Oryzias latipes: one gene and its partner. The protein of the gene in region 1 purifies or fractionates together with the protein of each later gene. This does not show direct contact. Links are inferred from orthologs where the notes say so. Each region holds a gene or a part of one and is shown on either strand. Other genes may lie near its edges. The genes, in order: G2 and S phase-expressed protein 1 and acad11.

The links.
Region 2: the proteins of G2 and S phase-expressed protein 1 (region 1) and acad11 purify together in Homo sapiens (co-immunoprecipitation; 3 studies listed by BioGRID and IntAct, counting the BioPlex papers as one, with this or other methods). This does not show direct contact. The link is inferred for Oryzias latipes from reciprocal best matches to the Homo sapiens genes GTSE1 and ACAD11.

What each region holds. Positions count from the first base shown.
Region 1 is NC_019864.2:3,483,979-3,488,379, forward strand, and holds the start of G2 and S phase-expressed protein 1, read right to left. Parts: upstream 2,893-4,401; 5' UTR 2,832-2,892; coding exon 2,789-2,831; intron 2,503-2,788; coding exon 2,467-2,502; intron 2,377-2,466; coding exon 2,307-2,376; intron 415-2,306; coding exon 1-414. UniProt on the Homo sapiens protein: May be involved in p53-induced cell cycle arrest in G2/M phase by interfering with microtubule rearrangements that are required to enter mitosis. Overexpression delays G2/M phase progression.
Region 2 is NC_019878.2:19,067,639-19,071,457, forward strand, and holds the end of acad11 (acyl-CoA dehydrogenase family member 11), read right to left. Parts: intron 1,924-3,819; coding exon 1,854-1,923; intron 1,447-1,853; coding exon 1,361-1,446; intron 1,282-1,360; coding exon 1,210-1,281; intron 1,101-1,209; coding exon 946-1,100; intron 831-945; coding exon 714-830; intron 647-713; coding exon 537-646; intron 469-536; coding exon 354-468; 3' UTR 16-353; downstream 1-15. UniProt on the Homo sapiens protein: Acyl-CoA dehydrogenase, that exhibits maximal activity towards saturated C22-CoA.

The DNA of each region.
Region 1 (4,401 bases):
CGTGCGGCAGAGAGGGGAGCGGCCGAGCTGCGCCGGCTTCCTCTGGGCAATTGGAGCTGGATGGCAGGCGGCAGCTGCTTTGTGGGCGTGTCCTGCACGCAGAAAGTCTGCCGCTTGATGGGGCTGAGAGCGCCGCTCGAACTACAAAGCACTTTCTTTTTTGCCTCAGAGTCCTGAAGAAACTGTTCTCCAGCGATGTTGGCGTCCTCCACGCCGCACGCTTTTCCATCCTGCAGTTGATTAACCAGGGAGTGGGCTTCCTGACACACAGCATCCAGCCGCTCACCTGTGAGTGGGCTCCAGTTTGAAAACACGTGATCTCCTTCCAGAAGCTCAGAGGCTTTGCTCACAGAAACACGAGACTCTTCACCCTCCACTGGACCCTCAAAAACCTCGTCTTCATCATCTTTAGAGCTGCAGAAAACAGAGAGGCCCAGAAAAGGTTCACAGCTTTACTGCTGCTATTGGGATTTTTTGTTTCTTTGTGACATCATTCAAAAAACTTGGCACACAAAGTGTGAAAATCTTAAGTAATCGTGGTTGAACCAAACAGTTATACGAACGAGCAAAAGTTAGAACGTATGAAAACTATTATAGTTCAAATACTTAAAAAAAAATTAAAAAGTACAGAAAAAAGAAATCTTTGACCCCCCTTCTGACTGTTTGATAAAAACCTAAATTAACAACAAAACTATGCTTTTTTATTTTTGTTATGTCCTGCACTGCAACGACAATACTGCTTTCACAATTCTTTCTTAACGCGAGTGAGGGAAAATTTCACCCCCACTACAAACTAAAAGAGGCTACATTTGCACACACCAGTTAGCATAGTTAGCATCTTTAGTGATACGTTTTCTGAGAGTTGATGATGCTGAACACAATGCTAGCACTAATTTTCCTATCTGTGCTAAAAGTGCTAGCCACGTTAGCACAGTTAGCATTTTTAATTGTTCTTTAAGTCGTGTGATGTTAAAGGCTGTAAGCCACAAACTCCCTGCTTCAAGCCCTCAGCAACGGGGAAGGGAAGGGGGGTGGGCTTTACTCTGTGCCAACAGTCCCGCCCACAACTCCGAGGTGAAATTCTAATGAACTCCTGCCGCTCAGCAGAAACTATGTTCTAGAAAACCACTTTTTTCCTTTAAATTTGTGGCTAAAAACAGCTTCATCTTATCTAAAAGACCACTTGGCAACACTTTGAAAATCTATTAAAATATGATCAGAATGGGACTTTAAAAAGGTAAACGTTTTGTTTCTCTGGACATTTACCTATTTTGTAATACATAAATCCTTTTGGAAAATATGATTTAACAACATTTTACAAACACTGAAGGATTTTTTTTTAGGAAATGAAGAAAAGCAGGGAGACCCGTCTCTGAACATCTTGGATCAAGAGACGGTGAGCATCAGGCGTCACGCCGTCTTTCAACAGCCCTGCAGGAAATGATTCAAGTCTGTAAAACAAACCCCTTGTATTGAAATGATCTGGACTATTGAACAAGGTAAAGACGTTTTTGTTCATATGAAACCAATGTTTATGATAATATCACAGCACAAACATTTGAGATAAAAAGACAGAAAAACTCAAGAGTAAGCACAGAGGCAAAGCCAAAACCTTAAGTTTCTGAGCCTGGCTGAATAAATCACTGTATTTTTAGAATTAAAAAAAAGAAAAAATCTAATATTGTAAATGTTTCACACATACATTTCTATGTTGTCCTCTATAAAAGACGTTTTTTGTGGGTTTATCATGACCCATTAATTCTTAATTTTGATATTTTTACTTTTTTTTGGTGATGTGACACTAACTTTAGAAAAAAGTGCAAGACTGAGGAGATTGTGTTTCCCAAAGCTGATCAATATTATGGATCATCTTCTGTCTAACTAATGAATCCAGTGAATGTTTGTCTCTCCTGCAGATTAATGCTTAGTTTAATGGAAATATTATCTGTGTGAGACCCATTTATATGAAGAAAATTACCACAAATTTAAATGTTTAAATGGTTCATATGATTGATCAAAAATGTATTATAAAAATCATGTTTCAAATCATGTGAGCTCCAGGGCTTTTACGTTGCCCCTAAATCCACTGGTAGAATTTAGCATTAGGAGCTAAACTACAGTAGAAGTTGAGAGCAGATCTGATCCAGAATGCAGTTCCTTAAGAAACGTTAGAAAAGTGGGAAAATTAACAGAAACATGAGAACTCAGCTGCTTTTTAGACTCGAGCGTTTAGGTGTTCACTGACAGAAAACGGACGTCATTCATTCACCCGCGCCCGAGAGCCGCAGATCTCGCGAGATTCTTACCTGGCAGGGGAAAGAGAAACGTCGAAATCAAACTTCTCGTCTTGCAGGAAAAGCACATCTGCTTTCGAAACTAGAACCATATGAGACAGATATGCAAAGAATAAACAAAACAGCAATAGGGACACACAAACTGACAGCAGTTTTGTAGGCGTTGACTCACCGCTCTTGGCTTCAAAGGCCATCGTTGTTTGATCTCCTTTATTTATGGGAATCATATTCACAAACATTTATTAAACATTGCTGTTTTATACGTTATAACTGTTTGACATTTGGTATCATTTGTAACTGAAACCAGACTTTGTTTTATTATATTGATATGTATCCTCAAAGTTGCATTTCAACGTTACGCTAAGCTAACTAGCTAGCAAGTTTTCTAAATGAATTCAATAACCGCGAACAAATCTGAGTTCTAAACTCTACAATGTTACAACAAGTACGGAACAACTTAAATCATCTGTGTAAAAAAAAAAAAAACACCTTACCTCTGAAGTTCTTTTTCTTGTATGTTCCCGTTCTGTCCCACATTCAAGCTGCAACACAAAAATACTTCAACAAAAATTTAAATTTGCTGCCTGTAGGTAACGTGACCGAGATGCGCTCTGCTATTGGCTGAAAGGACACGTGGTCCCACAACGTTGAATTGTGGGGCTTGTAGTACTTTTTTTTCGGTTTTCAGAAACACACTTTTATTTCAGACTCAGATGTAGTCCATAGAAAAAAGATACAAATATACATAATAAAAAGTAAAAAGATATAAATTAAAAAGAGTATAATCGCTGTATCCAGTGTTTCCTCAGGGCAGAAGTGTAGCGGCATGAGATTCTTTTGGGATCAGTCAGAGACATGATAATTGAGTTCTTAGATTTGTCCAGGCTTTCCTTAAGGCCATATGTAGGCTTACGCAGTAGTGCTTCACAGGTGGGGATGTGAGCATCCACAAATAGCTGACTGGCTCTGTACCACCGGGGCACCTGTAGCAGAAGCCTAAAAGCATCATTATAGGCCACTAAGAATTTGTGGAATGTCCCACGTCCATAGTTCCACCAAAGAGGGGCCGTATACACAGGAGTGCAGTAAGCTCTGAACAGCGAACACTTCACTTGAAGAGAACATGCACTGAATTTTCTCATCAGCATGTTTGCCTGAGCATAGAGTTTACAGTACTGTCTCTGAATGTCTCTATCATCCCTCCAATCATCAGTAATGAAATGTCCAAGGTATTTGATAGATGAGGTTTGTTCCAGAGGCGTTCCACAAAGCTTAAAAACAGGAAAGTTTACATTTCTGTTGTCTTTGGTCCTTACAATCATTACTTTGCTTTTGGAGGGATTGTAGTTTATATCAAAGTCTCTGCCATAGTCAGAACAAACTTTTAAAAGTGTTTGTAACCCAGCACTGTAGGGGCTAAAAATGACAAGGTCATCAGCATACATAAGATGATTAAAGGTTTGACATCCAACAACACACCAAGTTTTGCACAGATTCAGATTAGTGGATAGGTCATGAATATACACATCAAATAGAAATGGAGAGAGGATCCCCCCCTGTTGAACACCATTGCTTACATAAAAAGGATCTGATAAGACATTGCCCCATTTGACTACCATTGTTTGATTAGCATACCAGAAAGCCAGGAATCGTACAAGGTATTTGGGCACTCCTCGATTAATTAGCTTCTGAAAAAGCTTGAGGTGGTTGACCCTGTCAAAGGCCTTAGTGGCATCAATAAAACACAAAAATACAGATGTATTCAAATGCAGGTATTTCCCAACTATTTCCTGGTACGCGTAGATACACATATCAGTGCCGAGGCTTTTTTTAAAACCAAAATGATTCTCACTTGTTAAAAGATGCACTTCGAGTCTAGTCAATAAAACATATTCTAAAATTTTTGAAATGTTGCTGGAAAGGGCAATCAGTCGGTAATTCAACAGACTATTTAAACTGGCAGTCTTGTCTTTGATGACGGGAATCAATACAACTGAGAGAATTGAATCAGGCAGGACTCCATGGGTTAAAAAGCCAGTGAAACACATGGCCAGCAGGGGCAGTAATTTAAAACTTGAATATTTTAAATGCTCGACTGTGATGTCAT
Region 2 (3,819 bases), on another chromosome or scaffold:
ATGAAATCAGTTTAGTTTTAATTTTATTCATCCACTTTATTAATAGTTATTTTACAAAGAAGGAAAGTTTGGGGTCAAGTTTAGCCAAAATAATCCTACCTGCATCCAGTCGTAAACGTAAAAAGTGCCTTGAAATCAATAAACTTTCAGAAAGTATTATTTACAATTGTGTAAGATGTATTTTTACAGAATTAGAATGCATAAATGTAAAAAAAAAAGGCCACCTCCAATCTAATACTGCCAGAGAAACTCATTTCAACAAACTTCTTTTCCCATCCATTTAGGGAAGTTTCTGCCACTTTGAAACTTGTCATTTCTAATTTCAACCAGGGAAAAGTGAGTTCTGCTGTCATTTATAGCTTAGCCTGCGCTTTCTTCAGCTGATCCTTCAGTTCCAGGTATGCGATGGTGGAGAGGTGCACCTCATCGGGTCCATCTGCGATGCGCAGAGTCCGTGCATACGAGTACCTGAAAGCAAAATGTCAAACTTCAAACAAAAATCATCTTGCTGAGGTTTGAAAATAAAAAGAACGTACATTTGTGCTAGAGGAAAATCCCCAGACACCCCTGCGCCTCCGTGCACCTGGATGGCACAGTCCACCACCTTGCAGGCCATTCTAGCTGCCGCCACTTTGATCATGGCGATCTGTGAAGAGTTCTGTTAGTTTTTAATGGACTTTTGCATTACACGAAACAGAAAAAAACAGCTTTACCTGCTTGCGAGCAGCCCGGCTTCCAAGAGTATCTAGAGCTTTAGCAGCACAAAGCGTCAACAGACGAGTTTGTTCTACCAGAAGACGGCACTCTGCTATCCAGTGGGCAACAACTTCCTGAGCAGAAACCAAGCAGAAGATAAGGAGTAACCCAATATCCACCCAGAGGATGTCAACAAACAAAGACTTCCAGCACATCTCTGAAATGTAAATAAAAAAGGCTTCAACTCACATGCTGGTACAGCTTCTTTCCAAACGTGCTTCTAGAAGCTGCCCTCTGACACAACAACTCCAGGGCCAACTCGGCTAAGCCAACCGCTCTCATGCAGTGGTGCAGCCTCCCTGGCCCCAGGCGCCCCTGAGCGATCTCAAACCCTCTGCCCTCCCCTGAGAACCACACCAGAGGAGCAACAACCGCAGGAGCGATCAGCTATGTTTCTCCACCAAGACAAAGGGGATTTTACATTTTTATTTAGAAAAAAAGCCGAACTTGTACCCAGAATGATGTTGGATGAAGGGACACGGACATCTTCAAAGAGCACCTCGAAGTGTCCGCCATGGATGGCGTCTAGACACAGAACAGCTTCCATTTACTTTGTTATTAATAAAAAAAAAGTATTTTTTCTAGATGAACAGCAGAATCCTACCGTCCTGTCCGAACACTGTGATTGGTCGGATGAGCTTTACACCAGGTGTGTCCATAGGTACCAGGATCATACTGTGCTGACTGTGCCTAAAATACAAGACAGTGAAAAAAATGGTTTATTTTAGAGGCTTTAGCTGGTGACGACAAAGTTTGATGCTTTCACATGTGAGAGCTCGCGTGAGTCATGCTGTCTTTGCAACACTGGGTGTGTTTGCAAAACAAGGGGGAAAGGGAATGACATTAGCTTGGGTGGGGCTCTGGTTTAGACTTTTTCTATTAGACCCGCTTCATGGTCACAAATCGATTTAGTGAGTAAAACAAACTCAAAGGCTCAAATAGTCAGCACTCCTGGTTAAAGTCAGGGAAGCCATGAAGTGCAGGAGCACATGTTTGCAAGATGTTTCAATACTGAGGCAACAAATTCAATAATCAGTCTTTACTGCGGAAGAGGAGCTCAGAAAAACAACCCTGAGCAGAGGAAGTGAGCGTCTGACCTGCTGAGAACATCCTCAGATCCACTCCTGCACATCACAATGGCCACTTTGCAGAGGGGGTTGCCGGCACCTGTGGGGCACAAAGCAGCGATTTTTAAATTTATCTCTTTTTATTTTATTTGAAATGGTTTATTTCAAGCAATCAACGCAAGAATAATGCACAAAACAATCCAATCAGTAGTTATACATTCATACAAAGACTTATCAATTTAGGATGATTAGAGATTAAATCAAATGTTGTACTACCACTCCTGTTCTACCGTAACCATTTTATTACATGATTTATCATGTAATAATGTTATTTTATCAGATATCCATGCCTTACCAACACAGTTTCAGGTCATTAAGGTTCAGTATCAATAAATCACAGGACAACGATGAATCACTTAATAATTATGTAAAATGGACATAACTATTTTGTATATTAACATACCACATACAGAACAGTTATCTAAAATATATTCAAATTATTTTAATCTGATTATGATTAAAAATAACACTATATCAGGACAAATAGACATAACAAATCATGCCTTTTGGGACAGGTGAAGTGATATAATTAGAGATCAATCAGTTTAACCATTTTCAATGACTGATTAAGCTATTTTATTATTATAATTATAAGGAAATGCTGTGAAATAAAATCTGTCTTGTGGCTCATTTGTATTCATCATCGTCCCCTCTGCTTTGGCCAAACGAACAATGGGACCCACAGTTGTTCCCTCTGTCCTTGACCGTTTCGTGACTCAAATTTGCTGGGAAACGTTGGGGACTTCCTGCCTGGAAAGTGCTGAACCCGGAGACGGCTAGAGACAGTTTACGGCCATGAGAGCAGAAGACGCCACATGAGGATTTACATTTCCTCACATGCATGTTTTTCTGATTTTAGCTTCGGATTTAAACCAGATTGTGTTTCTTAAAAACAAAAATAAGACCTTTGTCTTTATATTAGAAAGTGATGGAGAATGGCCACTAGAGGGCAACATAAATGTCCTGAAGTATGAGTCAAGAAACTGAGAAAAGTAGATTAAAATAGGAATGATCAAAAAATGAAATGTTTTTTTTTTATCGTAGAATTGTTATTGCTTTTGATGTTTTACTGTTGACACATTAGGATCCATGTAGTCTATTTGGATTTTTTAATTGTTTCTGTTTTGAACAATTGTTTTGTTGCCTTGGTAGTGTTTTTTGTTGTATAGTTGTTTTGTAAGTTAGTGGGGGGGGGGTTTCTGGTTGTTTAATTGTTTACCTTTTTGCTTTGCTGCTGAGATTTCCTCAACTTTAAAAAATATATTTTATCATAATATTTGTTAACTTTCTTTTATGTTTTTAGTCATTTTTTGACTAAAGCTGATATTCATTAAATATACTGTATACATAAAGTATTGTTTATTTGTATTGTTGTTGTTTTTTTGCCTCACAGAAATGTAAAAAAAAGAAAATAAATCACCAAATTCAGAATATTTTGAAATTCCTCATCATGAGATCCAGACAGGGTGAGTAATTGTTGAATTTCTGGTCAGCTGGAGTAACCGTCCCCTTCGGCCAGACGGGACAGATGGACACCAGATGACAGACTAGAACAAATGCTCGTCCTTAATTAGTATTCAGGGATTCAAAATACAACTCAGTGAGACACGTTTGGTCTGATTCTAGAAGCAAACTCCTCCACCCATAGAACATTTAGGAAAGCCTGTTTGGCTCCAGGGACAGATAGTTTTTTTTTATATATATTCCTGAGCCCTAAAGTCATGCCTGAACATGCCCCATCCACACTGGAACGAAAATAGACCTTCAAGGCTCGGTAATTAGTCTGTGCGTGACATTTAACCATCCCATGCATCCATTTGCATCTTTTAAGTAACAGCAAAACCTTCGGTAAGACATTCCTTCAAAAACTTGTGGTTATGTATGGCCAAAGTAGGAATGAGAAATATGTTTTGGATGCAAGCTTTCCACACATCTC